Linked DNA regions of Styela clava. The protein of the gene in region 1 interacts with the protein of each later gene in a pairwise test. Links are inferred from orthologs where the notes say so. Each region holds a gene or a part of one and is shown on either strand. Other genes may lie near its edges.

Evidence for each region.
Region 2: the proteins of dual specificity protein kinase CLK2-like (region 1) and pre-mRNA-splicing factor 38A-like interact in binary tests that used the Homo sapiens proteins (3 or more experiments, as listed by UniProt). The link is inferred for Styela clava from reciprocal best matches to the Homo sapiens genes CLK2 and PRPF38A.

The regions. Positions count from the first base shown.
Region 1 is NC_135257.1:9,744,488-9,755,393, reverse strand, and holds the start of dual specificity protein kinase CLK2-like, read left to right. Parts: upstream 1-6,762; 5' UTR 6,763-7,007; intron 7,008-8,101; 5' UTR 8,102-8,122; coding exon 8,123-8,259; intron 8,260-8,346; coding exon 8,347-8,530; intron 8,531-9,210; coding exon 9,211-9,316; intron 9,317-9,753; coding exon 9,754-9,820; intron 9,821-10,189; coding exon 10,190-10,306; intron 10,307-10,906. UniProt on the Homo sapiens protein: Dual specificity kinase acting on both serine/threonine and tyrosine-containing substrates. Phosphorylates serine- and arginine-rich (SR) proteins of the spliceosomal complex.
Region 2 is NC_135260.1:5,477,335-5,487,553, forward strand, and holds the start of pre-mRNA-splicing factor 38A-like, read left to right. Parts: upstream 1-5,177; 5' UTR 5,178-5,298; coding exon 5,299-5,428; intron 5,429-6,644; coding exon 6,645-6,804; intron 6,805-10,219. Other genes in the region: FAS-associated factor 1-like, read left to right, coding at 467-547, 1,978-2,133, 2,855-3,010, 4,163-4,243. UniProt on the Homo sapiens protein: Involved in pre-mRNA splicing as a component of the spliceosome.

The DNA.
Region 1 (10,906 bases):
GTCAAGAATGGAATGTGATGTGCAGTGGCCATTTCGAAAACCAAATTGATCATTATTCAGAATTGAATGTTTGTCCAGAAAAGAATTTAACCTTTTCAACAATAATTTTTCAAAGAGAATCGAAAGGCAGGATAAAATTGAGATAGGACGATAATTTGACACTTTATCCTGTTCACCAGATTTATACACAGGCACAACTTTTGCAATTTTTAAATAGCTCGGAAAGATTCCTATAGACATAGAAGTGTTGAATAACCTACATAGAATTGGGCTAATAATAGTCTTCAACAGTTTGATCATGTAAGTGGGGACATGATCATGGCCCTCAGCCTTTCCGCTTAAAAGAGAATCAATAGGTATTGCAATCTCAGAAGGAGTGGTATCATCTAGGAACATTTGTTAGGTGGATTTAGGTACCTAAAAAACTCGTACCTAATACCTAATACCTAAAAAACCTAAAAAACTCGGAAGCGAGAGAAGGTCCGATTTGGGAAAAATACTTATTGAAAGATTACAAATGTTATCGTTAGCATTTAGCATAGTAGTCATGTTTGGCCCTATTTTTAATGTGAGACAGAGTATTAGAATACTTTTTATACAGACGCTTTTCAACATCAGAGCCATTTAAAAATAACGATTTGTGCAATTTATCTCGAATTTTGGCGGAGCGTAACATACCTGGGGTGATCCAGGGTTTTTGCATTAACCGGCGATCTTTCCTACTCAATTTTTTGAGTGGGGCGTGTTTATTAATTAAATATTCAATTTTGTTGATAAATTCATCAAATAGTGTGTTATAATTATCAACTCCAATTTGTGGGGGCAAAATCCCACTATTAAACACAGTTTGAGCTTCATTTAAAAATATTTCGGGGTTGAAATGCTTCATATCTCGCTTCATGTCTGTAACATGCTTGGGAAGCGTATGATGCAAATCAGTTTGGCAAAATATAGGGAAGTGATCAGTCAAGCAATCAACTAGCACAATTGGTCTCATAGTTTTATAAGTTTTCATAGTTTTATAATAATGACGTTTGTTTATTATCCCCTTCAGTTTGTTGCAATACCCTTGTACGTGTTCTGTTGTGACAGATAACCTAATAAATAGCACTTTTTGAGCATTTTGTTCTTGAAGGATACACGAAGACCTTTGCCCAACCATGTTTTTTTCTTCGTTTTCAGCTCTTTTCTCGATAACATCTTCATACGGGCATGTCTGTCAATTATGAAATCATTACATAATGCGTCAAAGTGCTTTTTATTGGGTATGGGTACTATTGCAGAAGACCAGCTAGAAAAAATTGGTGAACATCCCCTCGAAAAGTGTCGACGCAAAAATGTTTCATATCTAGTTTACCATATAGTTATAGAGATTCTTTACGATTGTGGATAGATATGCTAGAATATACCTTTGGAAAGTGGTCTGTAATGGAGCGGGATATGATAAAAGCATATATATGAGCAATTAATGTGCAAGATGAGCTCGAAACCCTGATAGGTTGCGAGATGCAGTAAAAACAGTTACGCTATAGACCCCCCTCCAAGATACACGTATGACTGATGCATATGCGACAGCGTGCTTATGGAGCGTTATACCGTTATGACTCGGACATGACGTATTAATGTAATATATACTGATCCGAGGAATATTGCACTCTGATCCGTTCAACAACAAAAGAAAAAAAACTTTTATTTTTCATCAGTCTTATCGGTTTCATCATATTAATCCCTCTGTAGTTGATCGACGCCTCAAACAAAATAAATTTACATTACAATGACAAAGTCGTCGGTAACTTGGAACCGGGCTCAAAATCTTGCTGTGCATCACCTGGAAAAGATCTCAGCCGCCCATGCGTTGCGCGTATCGTGACCACCTGCAGAGTCGCAACAAGTTCATATCTTACTGGATGTCGATGCAAATCCCTAGAATATTATACTGATCCTGACTGTTATAACCTTTTATGCAGCATGCAGAACAGAAAAAGCACGCGTGCCGATTTTTAGGTTTCTGAATCTTGCGAGATTTGACGGAGAGCTTTTGCGATGAATCGGAAGCGAAAAGTGTGATTACTCGGCGCCAAGACGTCGCCGGACCATTAATGCCGCACTTATCGAACAGCAATATGACGGCGGAAGAGAAATTGCGTGATAACCCGACGCAACTTCGTCTTAGGAAAAGTGATTGAGAAGACAGAAAAACAACAGAACAACGTAATTGCAGCGGTTGGGAGCTGGTAATTAGCGGATATTTACTCGAGGTATAGGGATGTTTTATTTTCACGCGAACTGAAAACTCAAATACATTGCGCCAACACATACTATTTTGTTCATATATATATACCAAAAAGGATGTTTTATTATCAAATTAAAATTACTAAGCTGATATGGTACGACAGAACGTACGGATCTTTACAGGGGTAAATATACATAACGTAGCTCGACAAGGACTCGACAAAATGACGTGAACTCAAATCAGAGTCAAAAAAATTCGTGGATCCGAACTGAATCCAAGTCCCGTCCATCCCCTGACCTATACTCATCCAAAAACTGTGAATATTATGCAATACTACAGTGAATATGCAGGTAACTGATTTAGATTATCGTATATATCGCTCCCCCTAGTCTTTACCGACAAATATTGTGTCCGTTCATTGTATTTTTGCCTCCATTAAATTCATTTACATCTTTTTTTTTGGCTGACAGATTAATAAAGCTATATATATTTATTTGAACCTAAATTAATAACCGCGTTGGAGTGCAAGCCCTTGATAATTGTCATATTTCTCTGAATCTTCCCAGACTAGAGAGAGGACCTCCAGAAGTATGTGCACCAAGATGGCGCACAACCTGAACATAGTAGTTGTACCAGGTTAGGGTTCAGGTTGCGCGTCATCTTGATGCACATACTTCGGGAGCGCCCAATATATATATATAAATACAACATACACAGAGATTATAGACTAAATCGTCAGTTCTCAATCTTTCAGTGTCATGAGCCCGTGAATAGGCTGACTATTATTTACGGAACCCATAATAAGTTTATAAAAAAATTAGGTACTCCCCAAGTATGTGAACCAAGGTGGCGGACACCGGAACGTAGTACCAGGTTAGGCCATAATTTCAGCTACCAATACCACAGGAGTCACTTGGCTAGTCCCAGAACTCGTAATAGAACTAAAACAGGAGAGCTATAGTGAAATATATGAAAACGTAGCGCCACATAATTTTGATGACATCATAGCAAAAAATAAAAGTAATAGCCTTCTGGAGAAAAATTTCATCTTTAACCACTGAAAATTTCAAAGCAATTGGTCCAGTAATCAAAGAGAAAAGCGATTTCTTCAAAACGATACAAAGAACAAGAACAACAAATCGATCGCTATTATTCACTACGTGCCCAATAAGGAAAATTGGAATCAAATTATAGCCTGACCCTAACCTGGTGCACATGCTACGTTCCGGTGTCCGCCATCTTGGTTCACATACTACGGGATCGCCAAAAATTGTTACTTACCGATTAATGTTCCTTAGTAAATAAATAAAAAATACCTTATTCAATGACTGGAATGTATTTGCTGCTTTGTAAGTAAAATAAAATTCTTGGGCGTATGAGAGAGAGAGATTTTATTATTTCGTCAACCAAAAAATGCGCAGGAGGGAGCGATACGACCACACGGTAAGCTTCCACCATATGCGCTGTTGTGGTTATATTAACAATGGAAAATGACTAGTGGAAAAACTTGAACTAGTGCGATAATATTTTTACAAGTTTCTAAAACCAAATTGGGAGATTCTAAGTAACAAATCTTAAATAAAATTTAGAATTTTGAGAACATATGTTTGTAAAGGGGGGAGGTGATACGACCATAACACTTCGCGTGGCTTATCCGAATCACTACTTACAGTATTGACTTTCGAATTGCTTACTCACACACGATTATCCACGATGCTATACCTGAGTGATAACGTATTTATACCAAATGCATATGGGTCAGGACTCAGGAGTGTCTGTGATCTAACTGGTATCGCGTACTCACGTTCACAAATAATACCCAACCAATTATTATTGAGTTTTTTGCTATTTATTAATTGAAGGTGCCATAGTGCTGACTTTGTTTGTGATAATAAATATTTCTTTCTGGCGACAGAAAACCTGTAACCATTGTCTGATTGTGCAGGATTTCAAAATATTATTGTGAACGTTCAGGGCCTAGTTATTAATACAGTCCCACCACTATTTTGTCAGTGTGTGCTATCATACCAACACTTCAAGGGCTGTTTAGAATCTGAACCGATTCATTTTGGCCAGCAACAAATAGGCCAAAAAACGTGTGAAACAATTTTTGTACGAACTTTTTTTTACTCTGCAAACGCGGATCAATACTACAATAGGAAGCGTAATAGCTCACCTCCAAAGTTTGTACCGATATATTCTAATGGCTGGCACACTTGAAGTTTTACTGCGAAGACGGTTAATTACCAAACCATTTTTGTATGAGAAATTCACGAAGTTGTAGAGGATGCACAGGCCACAGTGAGCACACACCAGGGTTGCCAGATCCCAGCGATCAAAAAAGGCTAAATCAAGACACAAAAAAAGCCAGAAAAAGCCAACAATTTTACCAAGTACAAAAGCCCCATGATTAGTCAGATTTTAAGTCCTTGGCAACGTACTGATGATGATGTAAAGCCATCATGTCATTCAGTGAGGCACACAAATAGAAAGTAAAGTTCCTATAGAACGGTAGAAGGTGAAATAAATATCAAGTGGACAGAATTATTTTACCATTCAATATACAAGACAGGGTGCCGCTTCAGCATGTAACATACCTACATGTTTCTACTTAAACTTGCAATATACCTTAAAAAATTCTCCCTATATTGTATCTTACTATAGAAAAAATTTAACTTTTAAATTTATAAATCATCAATTTTATTAAAAAATTATCTAACGCCGTGCCGCTCACAGGTGGACCACTGATATCTAATTCATTAATTTTAGCGTAGTTAATCACAACGTTCGTGAGACTAAATTTTGATTACTACAATTGCAGAATTAAACTAAAGCTCACATAAACCATATCAGGCATAATGAAAATTGAGTTATACAATTACTTTTTGGAAACAGAGCCAAAAACTGACAAATAACACGCAAAACTATAAAAACCAGGCAATGTTTACAACCCCGCTTGAACATCTGTCTGAGCAGCTGCAGAAACTGCAATTATTTCTTATTGGGTAGGGTTAAGAGTTAATGTAAACACACATAAAACTCACCATATAGTAGAACAGAGTATTTGGTCAATGTAAACACATATAAAACTCACCATATAGTAGAACAGAGAATTTGGTTGTATTAAGACATGAGTATAGTATTTGGTACAGAGTAACAACACTATTGGAGTATTTGGTTGTATTAAGTTCGTCGATTCTCAATCCCAATTCGCCTGAATAAATAGAACTAATGTTCTGCAACGGGATTTGATTTGGAGGGGCTACTTGACCGGAATTACAATTGGAATTTACTAACTTGGATAAAAGTCGAGAGAGAGAGAGAGAGTTTATTTCATTTTGTCAAACCAAGAAAACAATTTATGCACACATAAACAAATATCAAAAATATAGTTTTCGGTATATGACTGGGGGGGCAACGATACGACCTTTGGGGGTCATCAGAGTCAGTTGCCACCCAATTATATTAAATAAGCATAAAAATAACAGGTTCGTGTCAATATACGACAATACATTTCGTGTCAATATTCGGTCGAGCTGATAACATAACTCTTGAAGGCGTACGACAAACATCTTTTCATGCCGGCATGTCATTCTGTATTTACTGTTGGTTTGTATCGCCTAATATCAAGATAAACAAAGCCCATCCACCAGAATTAAAAGTATTTGGATAAAAGATTGGATTTAAAGTTGAATTGTGGACGATCTGTTATGGGTGTTTTGCGAGGATTGGGTCATTTGATGAATCTAGTTGTGGATGATGGAACAGAGCTCAGAAAATACTGCACCTGTTGAAATGATGGTTGTGCGTGGAAATTCGATATTAATGTTGCAACCGATTTAACAATCTTTTCAAGACATTTAAATTTGGCATATATATGCAGATATTCCGTATAGGATTGTATAAATTATTATTACTGTAGCTTGAGTGCTTCAAAAGTAAAACAGCCCGAAGGTTTAATACATTCGCGTATCTTTTGTTTCTTTATTTCTGGCCCAACCCTTGTTTAACTAGGTTTGTGTTTTTTGTCATTTTTTTTTTGTGTGTGCTGGTGGGCGGGCACTTGATATTTTTCATGTTTTAAACTTTTTTAAAGGTTTTGCTCGTTCTCCAGAATTCCCCAATTATATTTTGTGTGTATTATGGAGTTTTCAAAATAAAATCTATCTATCTATCTAATGTAACAAACAAGGGAATCGATGCTCCGGGAAAGCCTGATGTTAAGTAGCTAAGTACAGGTAATAGACTATTGTTCAGTTGTTGAACACTAAATATTGTATTTCATATGATTTTTATAATAGACACTAGAATAGACTTAAAAAAAAGCCAAAAAAAACGCCAAAAAGCCAAACGGAAATTCTGACGCCAAACGCGTTTGAAAAAAGCCAAAAATGGCAAATTTGGCGTTAAAAAGCCAATATGGCAACCCTGGCACACACAGTGACAGCGACTGAAACTTTACGCGATAGTCAAGTTTTTGACTACCCACAATTCCGCGTACATCCGGGGCTTCGCGATTCGAAGCCGCCCGTTTTTGTCAGCTGTTTATTTACCGAGCCGCCATTTCTCGCAGAGTTCGTGTGATTTTTTTTCGTGAAGGCATCTGTGGCCAGCGCTGATTTTGAGAATAGAGCGGTTGAGGCGAATCAAGGAGGCAAATCTTCATTACCGCTGCACTGCATCAATATTACTTCAGTACTTGATTAGTCAGATTCTTTCAAAGACCGGAAATAATTTACGACGACGACAAAACAGATTAACTTTTACAAGTAAGGTTCGCCCTTAATTTTTCTTTTCTCGTGTTCATGTAGGCCTATGCTTCTCGTGAATTTATTATTTTCTGTAAGATTGTCGTGATGTGTTTTTTCACTTGTGTAAGTGTTGGTGAATGGGCACAAATAAACTTTTTCTAGGTTTTGGCCATTCTTCCTGCAGTCCTGTCGTCTGTGTTTCTTATTTTATTATTGTTGTTTTGTTTCTATCAGAGCGACCAAGTAAAATTGATTAATTTTGGTCATTCTTCCAATCTTTTCGTCCTGTTGTCTGTGTTCCTTATTTTATTATTGGTTTTCTGTGTTGTAGACTGAAAAAAATATAGCCTAGTCTGCTAAGCATGAAACTTAAGTCCTGTTTGTAATTATCGTACTGCCTGTCGTATGATACCGGTACCATTGCACAGACTTGGCAATTCCGGTTTATATAAAGACACCATTCTAGCAGTCAAGTGTAATATTTCTCTATAAATGGATAAATCCAATGTCCATACGCCACTCACTGATGACCAAAACAGCTACAGAACTAATTCAGTAATTACAAAATTTTCTGGTTGTGAAATTTTTTTTACTTATTTAGGATGACAAATATTTATTGAAAGGGAAAAAGTCATTTACTTTCTAACAAATTTCAAGGCACCTATTTCAATAATCTGATAATTTATACCTGATTAAATTAAAGAATAAACTTTACCATTCGTCTCGTCATGTGCTATTAATCTTGTTTGACTGGAAGGCAAGCATCATCAAAAACTTAGGATTCCGTAGCTTGTTACCGGTATGATTCCAACATAAAGGTTAAGTTGCACCTGTGGCTGCCGTTCCACAGTTCCATGGAGTGAAAGCTGGTTGAGGTTGCTGCTTTTCTCTTTAGTCTGGAGTTCGTGAACTGTCTGCCATTATATGTAAAAATGTTTTGTAAATTATTCCTGACTTGTACTATCTATTCATTTCCTTAGCCAGTCCCACTAATCCGGCTGTAACTTCGATTTATATGATTGTGTGTTGTGCCAGGTCCCATTTTTAATATGCCTTCCAACCTTGGCAAGAACAGTTGACTTATATGTCTCTATCATTAAATGTGGATGTGTTTCAGAGTTGGGGAACATTGGCAGTAATGACTGTGCCAGAAATGGGACGAACCAGACGCTATCGGAGTGGTGACAGAGATAGTGGCTCCCAAAGCTATCATTCAACTAAACGAAGGAGACTTGATGATTATAACTCGTATGATTATACTTATAATTCAAACAGGTGATTTTTTTATTTGCACTTTTCAGACCATTTTTTCCACTAATAACATTGGCTGAAATAATTCATCAGGGCCTTTTGTGTTTTCAGCCGGGATCTGAGTCGAAAGCATCAATGCAGTCGTAATGGTCCATACTACAGTAGAGATAACAGTCAGATGAACTATCACAAACGATACAAGCATATTACCCGAAGAGATTCTGACAGTGATAACAGTAGGAGACGGCATAGAAATAGACACCGGAGACATAGGTCTAAATCTCCATCTGGCTTGGTGAGTGTAATTGATGTGATCTTGTATCTTTTTCCTTCGATACATTATATTAGGACCTGATGAGTTGGGAAAGCTAGATGATTTAAATAAGGCGATAGATTGGATGGAAGTTTAATTCATGGTGTTAATTGTAATACATCTTTCTAAGCATCAGTGAAATTTTATCTTGGCTTTACAGGTAAGTTTTTTTATTAGAAAAAAACAACAATGTGTTAGATCCCGATTTCATTTTTAAGTGTAGTGTCTGAAGTGAATTGGCGGCTAGTTAAGATTTTCAATAAGTTGATAATGATACAAAAAATGTTTAAATTTGGCCATAATGGTGCCCTTAGAAAATGTTCACATGAGCAACTTGGTAGTGATAACAATATGACATGTAGTGCAATTGCTTAATTATTTCGATTCTATGAGATTTCTAATGATACTGAAGTAGTACATAAATATTATACCAGGGCACCATACATTATATAATTGTGTGTGCATCTTGCCCTAGAGTTGTACTCTGTGCAAGATGTTTATTTTTGTTTATTCCTGACAAATTTCTCATGTGGTTCCTGGTTATATTCCACATATCGCATATGTACCAATGATGGCATTGATTGATACACACCCTGTCCAACAACACACTTTCACTTATGAACGTCACTGGTGCTTTGACCTCGTGCATCTTGGCGTGACAGTCTCAGAAAGAGCTACATAGAAACAAGAATGGCAGGGCAAAGAGTGTTCAGGATGACGAAGAAGGTCACCTTATCTATCGGCATGGCGACTGGCTGCAAGCGAGATGTACTTAATAAGAGAAGATTTATAAATTAGTTATAAATTATGCTGTGGGAATTTTTTTGTCCACATGTTTTTTGCATGTGATATGTATTGTCTTCCAAATTGCTCACTAGCCCTATTAGATTATTTTTTTATTGTAACTGTCCTACTGTCCCATATCAGGTTTTTCGGTCATTCACTAATTAGGCAAGCTGAATGTTCTTATGACTTTCGTGCTTATAAGCAATATTATTTTTCTTAGGTTTAAACGTGCATTGTTCACAATTTTCATGATAGCCTTTTTGTTGTAAACCGATTGTGACTTGTTCACGCTGTGAAAGTTGTATACAATGCATAATATCATATATCTGTCCAGTATTTAGGTGTATCAATGTCATAGGCCTAAAGGAGCTATCACTACCATTTTAATTGGGACTAATTTTCCGTTCTTCATTTAACAGACGAAATCCTCTCCACTCTAGGAGAAGGCACATTTGGAAAAGTTTTACACTGTAAGGATCATAGCAGGTAAAGACTTAATTTGGTCAATTCTTTTTTTCAATAGATTTATGGAGTACTCTTATTGTGTGTCGTTCAGAAACCTTGCATCATGCTTTCACGAATTCTATTTCGTAAATTTTCATGTAGATGGCATCTTAATGTATACTGATCAAGGTCTCTGGAGATGAATGGATTTCCTAATTCCATCTTGAATATGCCGAAACTAGTAACAATGTCCCATGAAAATGTTGCATAATGTGCCACCATATTTTTTTATGGTATGAATGAATTTCTGGTGTATACATGATTGCCTTTGACTTGACTCAGAGGCATGTTTATTCCAAACTATATTACCTTTCCTTGAGGTAATCCTCATAAAAGTGTTTCATTTTCCAGAAATGGACAGCACATTGCTCTAAAAGTTATCAAAAATATAGAAAAGTACAAAGAAGCTGCATATATGGAGGTCAACGTTTTGAAAAAAATACAGGAAAAAGATCCGAATGGAAAATAGTGAGTTTGATTCATACATGGGCAATTCTGAATGCTGTATGATCAACGAAATGACAAGATTATAGCATGATATTGGTCGTTTTGGAGCATTTTTTTCAGTCTAAACTTCAAACAGATTTTATTTCTTTCGAATTTAATAAGGCTACACAGCGTTGGTAAATATTGGCTGCTGGTTGGGTCATATTCAATCTCTGCAAGATCGGTGTTGCCGAAAAACACTGCTTAAAGTTGCCATATGCTGTAAAATCTTCAAGGTGGTCAAAAATCTGAATCTGTTTTTCATCAATCTGCTCTCCCAATAATTATAATTCATTATAACAATTCTGAATTTCATTTCTCGGTGTATCATTCACTATCTTGTGTATGATGCTATTCCTAATTTGTCATATCAGTGCTTGAAGATTACATCAATTTTTTGCAATTCATCACAATTTTGCATTAAAAAAAATTCCGGACTTCAACTAAACCACTGTAAATAAGAATAGAATGGGATTCTGGATTCGGTTTATTCTAGGAAATGAATTACATTGAATTTCCCAACCCTAAAAATAATGCCTATATTGAAAAGGTGGAGCTCCAGGAGTGTGTGTACCAATATGG
Region 2 (10,219 bases), on another chromosome or scaffold:
GATTAAATTTCTTTTTTGCGATAATCATTTGTTTTTTGTCTTCATCTTTACGTTATTTTTCTAATTCTTTGTTGGACACGAAGCGGGCCTGGATTATTTTACTAAATTCTTTCTGTCCTCGTGGTGGTCGCTGTTATTTGGGGGAAAAATGCCTTTCTCTGCATTGTCTGCAACGGACAATGAAGATTATTGAAGCCGCTAGAAGGATCATTATATTTACTCTTTTCCATTTATACAAGGGAGCCGATATCTCACAAAATCTTGCCGTATATTTTAATTCATAGAAACTCTTTTTTATGTAATTTAGGAACACTTTATTTTGTCGCGCTTGTTTGCCTCCTTCACACTTGTCCGATTTCTTCAACAAACTCGGTTCTCAGCTGAGATCTTACCATACCTATAAAACGATATTTTGAGCATCGTTTTTTTGTGTCGATTTGATATATTTTTCCTTGAATTATTCCAGAAACAGAGAGCCATACGGAATAGCATACTAGAGCAACAGAAAAGAGAATTCGAAGAATCTTTAAGAGCAGACCAAGAGAAAGTATAAAATTGCGATAGTTAATAATACACTAGTAATATATTAGTTAACCTCATTTATTTACTCGCATACTAAGCAAGTTCTGATATATATAGGGTGTCCATAATGTCCTAATAATTTTAAAAATTGCAAAAGAAATTTATCGATACCATATATTGTTTTGGCCCTCACAGATGTATTAAAGGAAGTAAATATACTTAAACAATTACTGATCAAAAAACTTGGTTAAAATATATTGAGAACTGACTTCAAAACAAAATTGAAATTGTAAGAGAACTTTATGAACACCCTGTATAATATTATATATACTATGCAATTCAAAAGTCCCGCTGCACACTAACACAAATGTATTTCTGTAAGTTTCTTCTGACAAAAATCAGACTTCACCAGGTCACAACGTAATTTAGGCTATTTTCTAAGGTTGAGACGGTAGTTCTTAAACCTTTTTTCTTTCTAACCGGTTCTCCCACGCATTTTGTAGAATTGACAACGTATTTTAGGCTATTTTCTAAAGTTGAGACGGTAGTTCTTAAACCTTTTTCTTTTCTAACCGGTTCTCCCACGCATTTTGTAGAATTGACAACGTATTTTAGGCTATTTTCTAAGGTTGAAACGGTAGTTCTTAAACCTTTTTCTTTTCTAACCGGTTCTCCCACACATTTTGTAGAATTGACAACGTATTTTAGGCTATTTTCTAAGGTTGAAACGGTAGTTCTTAAACCTTTTTCTTTTCTAACCGGTTCTCCCACGCATTTTGTAGAATTGACAACGTATTTTAGGCTATTTTCTAAGGTTGAAACGGTAGTTCTCAAACCTTTTTCTTTTCTAACCGGTTCTCCCACACATTTTGTAGAATTGACAACGTATTTTAGGCTATTTTCTAAGGTTGAGACGGTAGTTCTTAATACTAACTAACCGGTTCTCCAACACATTTTGTAGAATTGCTGTGGAAATAGTTTTCATAAATTGTAATTAACACGAACATTGCATTATTTTCTGATTGCGATAGGTTACTACATAAGTGTGTACACATAACTGTGATATATATCTTTGATTGTTATGTTCATTTTTTCAGGTACTTCCGTAGTGTGTGTACCAGATTAGGCCATAATTTTATTCCAATTTTTCATATTTCAGTTTTATTACGAGTTCGGGGACTGTCTGTGTTAGCCTCCTCCCATAGGTTTTAGTCCCTCTACACAAATTGATGTAAAGTAGGCAAACAAAATTAGTTACCTCTATATTAGTACACACACTTTTGGAGCGCCTTCAACCTTAACTTGACAATTCAGCGTTCTCGCACCCATTAGCGGTGCTTGCACACCCCGATCAAATAATGTATGCGTTTAAAATAGATAATATATATATGTAGTTTATTCAAATTTAGAAATAGTTTAGTGAAATATGCCGTCACCAAAAATCTAAATGTACAGGCTAAAAAGCGAGAAGAAGAATCAAGATTAAAGAAAATGAACAAAGTGAACGCGAATAAATTAAGAGAACTCGAAATAAAAGAACAAAGAAAACTAAAAGCGGAATCTTCAAAAATGAAATCATCTTTGAGAAAGGAGCCAAACCATTCAAGAAATGTAAGCTCTGCTGAGATTGTTTGAATAATGAAGTCTATAATGTTACTATCACTCTCTAGATGACTCATGTGTGGTTAGTTGAATTAACAATTCAAAAAGGTTTTCATAAAGTTTAACTTTTATCGTCATATAAAAAACACTTTCACAAGCATTCGACAAATGTTAAGATTTCGCGAAAATAATAGTCTTTTTTATAGCTCTTCCATTTCCAAACAGTGCGTACTTGTGAAAATAAAATTCCGAATGTCATAAGTGTTTAATTTAAACAAAGTCAGTAAAAACCGTTTACGATTGAAAATAGGAATATGTGGAAGGAAACAAAAAGTCGCCATTTTTATAAATAAGAAACTGATTCCGTAAAACCGGTATAATATAGGATAGGATTTGCATAATTAATTATCCTGGGGAAAAGAAAAGCCGATAAAACGGTTTAATCATATGGCGAACCACGGGCTCTCGTCCGATTACCAGTCCATGTCGGGTTTTGGATTAGTTAGTCATTTTTTTAGGTGCATGGACTTGATGGTGATGGAAGCCATAACCGACCAGCGGTTAAGTAAACCACCCTGAAACGGCGAGGAGTACAGCAATCCTCTTGCACATAACTATCCCCACGTAGGATTCGAACCTGCCAACCCACGCAGGGTAATCAAAGGTGCGTGGCGATTGTATTCCTAACGCTTAGCACGGTGCGCCACATTGTTGCTTTGTATGTTTTCAGGTCATTCAAATTCGACTACGAAAACCTACCGGAGAAGGATTTTTAAGCAGAAAATTTGCTAGGTCGGATAAACTGCAAGATTTATTGAATTTCATCATTTCCGAAGGATTTTCGTTGAAGAATTACAGAATTATATCAGTGTGCCCGCGGCGCGAGGTGACATTTAAAGCTTAGAATGAGTAGTATTATGAAACTTTTCGATATTAGTAAATATCGAAACATGCCGATACTCTTATCAATAATAATGGTGTTAGTATTGTTTTGTTGGGAAATTATACAAGTAAACGTTAGGACTAGAGATAATTAAATCAGCTCTAAACTCTCTGTCTAGTCTATATATACTAACCAAACATTAAAAAAAAACGTTTTTTTTTTAATTACCGGACTATCAGTTTTCATGCGTAGAATTTGGGGCTGAAATAGGTTTTTAGCGTAATCCCCCAAAATAGAACGTTAGCATTTAATTCTATAAAGATATGAATGAAATTTTACGGCCTAATAGTTGACGAGTGAAAAAATGAAATGACCATACAAAAATGGACCCGAAATGAGCTATTATTGGCGAAAATTCGTGACATGGGTTGCTCAAGTAATTAACGTTGATTGAACTGAATGTGACTGACAAGTGATGCCAATTTTTGTTACTGTGTACATATTTAGCAATGATGCTACAGCGAGGCGTGAGACTCTGACTCTGGATTGACTCCAGTTAATCCAATATAAACCACCTTCGTCCATTTTCTTAAAATGATGCTTTAAATAAGGGGAATACCATTGTATTATGCAAAAAAGATTAGTCAATTTGAGACATCGTTTAGTGGAGCGAATTCAGTCAAATAGCTCATCATTCGTTTACGCTACACAACCGTCAACAAGATCACGCAAACAGCTGAACAACGCAGGCAGAGCGGAAGTTTTGCATTGATTCTTGCATGATAAAAATAAAATATTTGTCTGAGTGAGTTTCCCCCACAAGGCAATTATCGCGCGCTAGCAATAAAAAGTAGAACATGATCTATTGCTCGAAAAAAAATTCACTCAAAATATTGGATAAATTCTCGAAACAATGAAGTCTAAAATGGGTGCGGGTTTTCAATAAACAATGGGAGTTCTAAAAATATATTGCATCGCAATAAATATATTGTGGCTGTGTGCGGCCGGCCTTTAGATAACTTAATATCTCCCCACTACGGGCAAAAGTTTCTATTAATATTTTTATATTGGTAATATTTCCAATTTAGTTCATCGAATTTATGAACACGTATGATTTGATATAAAAACGATATTGATTTGTCCTATTATTTTTAGCTTTCATGTTTAAACCCAAAACGACCATTGAACTCGTATGGACTTGCAAGACAAGAAACTCTGATCATCGAGATGAAGTGAACATTCATTAAAACTGTCTGTAACTTCAATAAATATGTTTTACTTTTGTTTGTTTGTTCGATCTTCCTAAATGATGTTTATGAATGAGGGTAGGGATCTATACGCTTATCCAATATTGATACTAATCTTTATGAAGATTGAAAAAAACGACCCATTTCTTTAAGCATTCCTGAATTCTTCATCACATCCTCTTCCCCACCCGATCTTCTCAGTGGGTAGCTCCTGACTTTCCACTTTTAATACCATTTTCTAACGAATTGTTAAATGTCAAACCCCAACTTATCTCCATATGTCCAATGCCACCCACTAGCTCTGTATGATCTCCCACGTCCACTAACCGTACCTGACCTCCCACTGTCTAAACTCTAAACCCAACCCCTTACCTATCTGAACTCCCATGTCTAGGCCTACCCACTAACTATATTCGGCCCAATATGTCATTCACTGCGATGAGTTTTGCAGCGTATTGCTCTGCTGTAGTTCAGAGTAAACCATTATATCGATCTAGCCGCCGTTTCCATAAATATAGAAATTGGCGATGAAATATTGACGCACCTTCTCATCCCGGAAAGCCGGCTCCATTCGCTAACATGCATCAATGAATCACGTCTTCTGTTGGGATTGTTGGACCAAATCACGAATTACTATAGATTGAATGTAATCAAAACGAAGTATCTAATCTATTGCAATAGGGTAAAGGAAGTCTTCCCTGTCAAAAAATACTGACTTCGCTGAAAGGCGATCGCGAAGCCGTCACACGGCACGCAATCTGTTTTTAATGACGTCACCACAAAAAACTTACATAAATTTTTGAAATAGATATATGCATTATCCTTTTAGAGACAATAACACTGAAACCACTGAAATTACAATCATTAAATTTTTTTTTATTCAAGCCAACCAGTTACAAACTTTTGAAATTTCATATCCGTTAGTCGGGGCTAAAGATCAAGGTTGCTGGTTTTCGTCAACTGTGTTAAAAAGCGTGAGGTACTATCACGATAAATCAACAGTTTTCGGGTTGATTTCTCGTTTTTCCCGCAGTTTTATAAGATATGGCGAATCGCACAGTGAAAGATGCGGTTACTGTGAAAGGAACAAATCCGCAGTATTTGGTGGAAAAGATTATAAGATCGCGTATTTATGACAGCAAGTATTGGAAAGAAGAATGCTTTGCTCTTACAGGTAAATTAATACCAGAACGATTTCCTGGTCTGGGAGTTCATTTATGGTTGATTGATACCGGTACCGTACTGTATCATTTAATACAGTAATATTGTAATCTGTGGGTTTGAAACAGGGTTATTTGTAAATTTGAGCAGTTCTCAAATTCCCCTCATGCTGACATTAATAAAGAACCTCAATTATAACAGTGATTGCAAACCACACCTTTACGAGGTAATTTGGGCCTTTACGGTATATCAGCACAAACTAGCACAGTGCAATAAACTAAACCTGTAAAACGAATCAGAAAACGACACCATTAGATTCTTCGGAAAAAATAATTCTATTTATAGAAGGCTGGATAGGAAAATTTTAGGTAGCATTCAAGAGTTTATATGTCTGGATGAGCTATTACAATGAAAAGTCACAAATAATTACAGCGTTTAAGTATCAAACTTTAATCGATTCTACTGGAAAAAATGTATGACTCTATTCTTTAATCATCAGATATTTATAAAGGCCCATCCCCAGCATGAATGTTTGTTCAAAATCATATGAACATGCTTAAATTTATCCCTACGCAGCCTTCCAATTTTCATTATCATGCGTTGTCTCCTTATTTGTCCCAACTTGGTTTGTTGGAATATTGTTTGGTCTATATCACTTATGGTATATATTACAATTGTTGTTTGGCAGTTAACAGTCATTACTTATCGATCTTAAGATCGGTAAGTATATTGATAGGTATTTGTCTGTATGTATGTCTGTCTGTGTGTCTGTTAGATGCACGCGATATCTCACGAAAGCGAGGTTGAATCTGCTCCAGATTTTGCATGTGCATTCATCTTATCTCGGACCAGAAGCCTATTGATTTTGGGCGAATTATGTCGTATAATTAGCGAGTTATCAATCAATTATTGATATAGTGATCTAGATTTTTTAAAGCGAGAGAATTTCGAAACCCGCCGAGTGTGTGTGTGCGATGCGCAGTGCGCAAGTTACAAGAGCGGATGAATCGAAACTGCAGTTTCTGTTTTGGGGGATCCCCTAACTATCGATCGATAAGTCTTCGGTTTTCAACCGATATTCTCGTTGTATATTCAGGGTTGCATTTCGTGCAATCGTGTTTAACATATTGCAGGTCTTATACATCCCGATGTCTGAATTTCTTTTACATTCATATCTAGTCTACTAATTTTTTATTGATTGTGATGAATAATCACATTTTTATTTTTAGCCGAGCTGCTTGTAGACAAGGCAATGGAACTTAAGTACATTGGTGGAGTTTATGGAGGAAATATCAAACCAACACCTTTCTTATGTTTGATTTTGAAAATGCTTCAGATTCAACCAGACAAAGATATTATTGTGGAATTTATAAAGACAGAGGATTTCAAGTAAGTCCAAATGAAAGCCATGCTCAGTTGTAGGAAAATTTTAAGAACAGTTTCTTTTTTTATCGATTGGGTTTCTACAAGACCAACTACTTTTCCGTTTTCTATGCTTTTGCGTCGGTGGATCCGTATGCATATAATGCAAGGATGCTGTAGCAAGAGTGAAGATAACTATCCTGAGTAATTCAATAAATAGTCTTGCTGCACACTAACACAAATATATTTTTGTAACGTTTCGTCTGACCACGGTCAAACTTCCTCAGACTTCCTCGGAGTTGAAATATGTATGTCTGAGGAAGTTTGACCGTGGTCAGACGAAACGTTACAGAAATATATTTGTGTTAGTGTGCAGCAAGACTCTTGAATCACTTAGGATCAGTGTTCACTATTAGCGCACTTTTTTGCGAAAATTGCGAAGCACTTTCGCAACTTTTTTTAGGGACTGCGAAATAGCACTTTTTTCCGATTTTGAAGAGAAATAGCACTTTTTTCCGATTTTGAAAGGGAATAAAAATTCAAAGTTAACAAATATTTTCGAGTATTAAGTTGACAAATAAGTAACATACTGGTACTTTTGTAACTCAATTCTGCATATCATAACGATATTTACCGGAATTCTAACCTATGAGATGCAGACATAGGAGATAAAGCTTTTGCATTAACGGCAAAATTCTTGTTTATAATATGATTATTATACAAGCACACGGATTCCGCTTCTCCCGCAAAAAACGCTCCCGGGGCGTTTCTTTGAACGAGAGTGGTCATGTCATGTGACTATCAATGATATCGATGAATTCAAAATGACTATAAAAAGTGTTAGTAACTGTTTTAGTCACTTTGGATGAATTGTGACCAAACTGCACGATTTTCAAATCAGACGAAACTTTTAGCAGCATGTCACAGATTTGCAAAATCAACAAATTCACAAAATACCATTAAGTGCCATTTTATTGTAATTACAATGTTGAAAGGACGTGGCATTTTCCGGAATTTGGCGATAATTACACAACTATTTCTCATTGATATGCGAGGAGGGGTGGGCAAAATTCAATATTTTTTTAAATCGAATATTTTTAAGGAGTACCGAATAAACGTGGTGGAAACATTAAAAAATCGGCAACAAAGCCTTTTTACTGGTTAATTCCGTTGTAATCGCTAATTGTTCTTGTCACCCACCGATCGTTTTGGCGGCGATATCCAGGTTTTGTGCCTATCCTGAATGTTGATTTGAAATAGTGATTGAATAATTCGGCAATAAAAGCATTTCTGCGTGGTCATAAGGCGAGATGACGTTAATGAACAGCACTTCTTTTACAGGATATTTTACGTATGCGACTTAATGCTAAAAAGATTGGGCTCGAGTGCTTTTTTTTTCGAGTGCTCGAGTGCCTAATAGAGGTCAGGCGCTAATTGTAACTAATTCCCTCAAGTTTCAACCTGTTTTCAACAAAACAATACCCCGGCGATAATTATAGCTAAAATGTTACCGAGCAATTCACAATTTTATTTATGGAATTTGCAAATTCACCAGTTTCTTGACGATTTTGATATTGTCACGCCCTAATTATTAGGCGGTTTGACGGGTTCTTTGTTCCATTCTTCAGAAAGTTCTGACACGGGGGATATAGAATACTGAATCCGGAGGGTTTAATCCCTGTCCACTTACTGGTGATTTTCCGTTTTGAAATGCGTGAAACATTCTCTATTTTAAATTAAATGACGTTTTGCGGGCTAGAGTTCTCCCCGAAAATGATGTGTTCCAGACGTTAGTTAGACGATAGATAAAACATTAAATTAATAATTTTCGTGACGCCCCGTTTTCGAAAATACAAAGTTATATCGCAAAAAAATGCGTTATGATACATTTGGAATGAAACATTATTTACGGTGAATTCAGATCAAATTTTACTCTCCATGACACCCGTATCCGAAAATACAGTTGTATCTCGAAAAATGTGTTTTGTTACATTTAAAATAAAACATTTTTGCGATTAATTTAGATCATATTTTGCTTTTCACGACACCGGTTTCCGAAAATACAAGGTTATATCGCGAAAATGTGTTTTGTTACATTTAAAATAAAACATTTTTGCGATCAATTTAGATCATATTTTACTTTTCAGGACACCCGTTTTCGAAAATACAACGTTATATCGCAAATGTGTTTTGTTACATTTAAAATAAAACATTTTTGAAATTAATTTAGATCAAATTTTACCTTTCACGGCAACCCGTTTCCGAAAATACAAAGTTATATCACAAAAAATGCGTTTTGTTACATTTATTTTGCATTCCCGATAAAATACATATTTTCCCTAATTAAGGTCCTCGATGAATCTGTTCCTGTCGTTCAAGCTCAACACACGTTTGGACGAGTGTGGGGTGGTTTTTTGATCGACGATAAATTAAAAAGTTGCCACACGTTATTTGTATAACGATAATAACTGAAAATTAAGATTTTATAATAGAAGTGAATTTGTCTCAAGATGGTATTTTACGATTCCTGCCCACAGAAAATAAACACGATGACAGGCTTGGTTATAATTGATATTCGTTTAATTTATTTTACACTATCAATAAACGCGCCACACCAATTGCGACCATATAAATTGCAGTCGCATCGGTATGGACTGTATGTTTTTGGCGCTCTCAAATTAATAATAATTTTCAACAAAACAATACCCCGACGGTCATTAAAGCTGAATTCGTTACCGAATAATTCGCAATTTTATTTACGGAATTGCAATTTCAAGATCCCACTTGACGATTTTGATGATGTCATGCCCTAATTATTACTGCTTAAATGCCTCAAAATACAACAAATGTAATCATTTTCGACGATAACAGGCGCAACAATTCGTAAACGAGCCGTTATAACGAAATTCGCGATTGATTTTACCTCTCTCTTGTTTACAATTTTAACATCCCGCCGGCCATGTATGGTCGAATAAAATGTTCACATATTCGAAACATGACTTGGCCAAGGATGGAAGGGATCACTAAAGAGCTAATAGAAAGTACATACGCGAGGGTATGATATTTATATCGAGAATATTTGTGAGCATATCACAGGACCGAAATATTTTGCACCCGGCTGTTTGTTGGCAGAACAACGATACGCTAAAGTTAATTGATCGAATACAGGGAAGTATTTATTTATCATCTCACTTGCGAACATCGAGGTTTTGGCGGAATTGTACGATCATGTTGTCTTTCTTAAATAATAACTTTTTCAATAAATGTTCATTTTACTTTTGCGTCTTTATTATATGTCTGGTTTTCATTTATTTTAAATTCGAAATTGTCCGAAATACTCCAACAGGTGTATAGGTACAATAATAATAGTACTTACCAAAGTACCTACCAGGGAAGTTTAATACACACGATGTGTAAAGGGCGTCGCAACTCCCGTTTATTA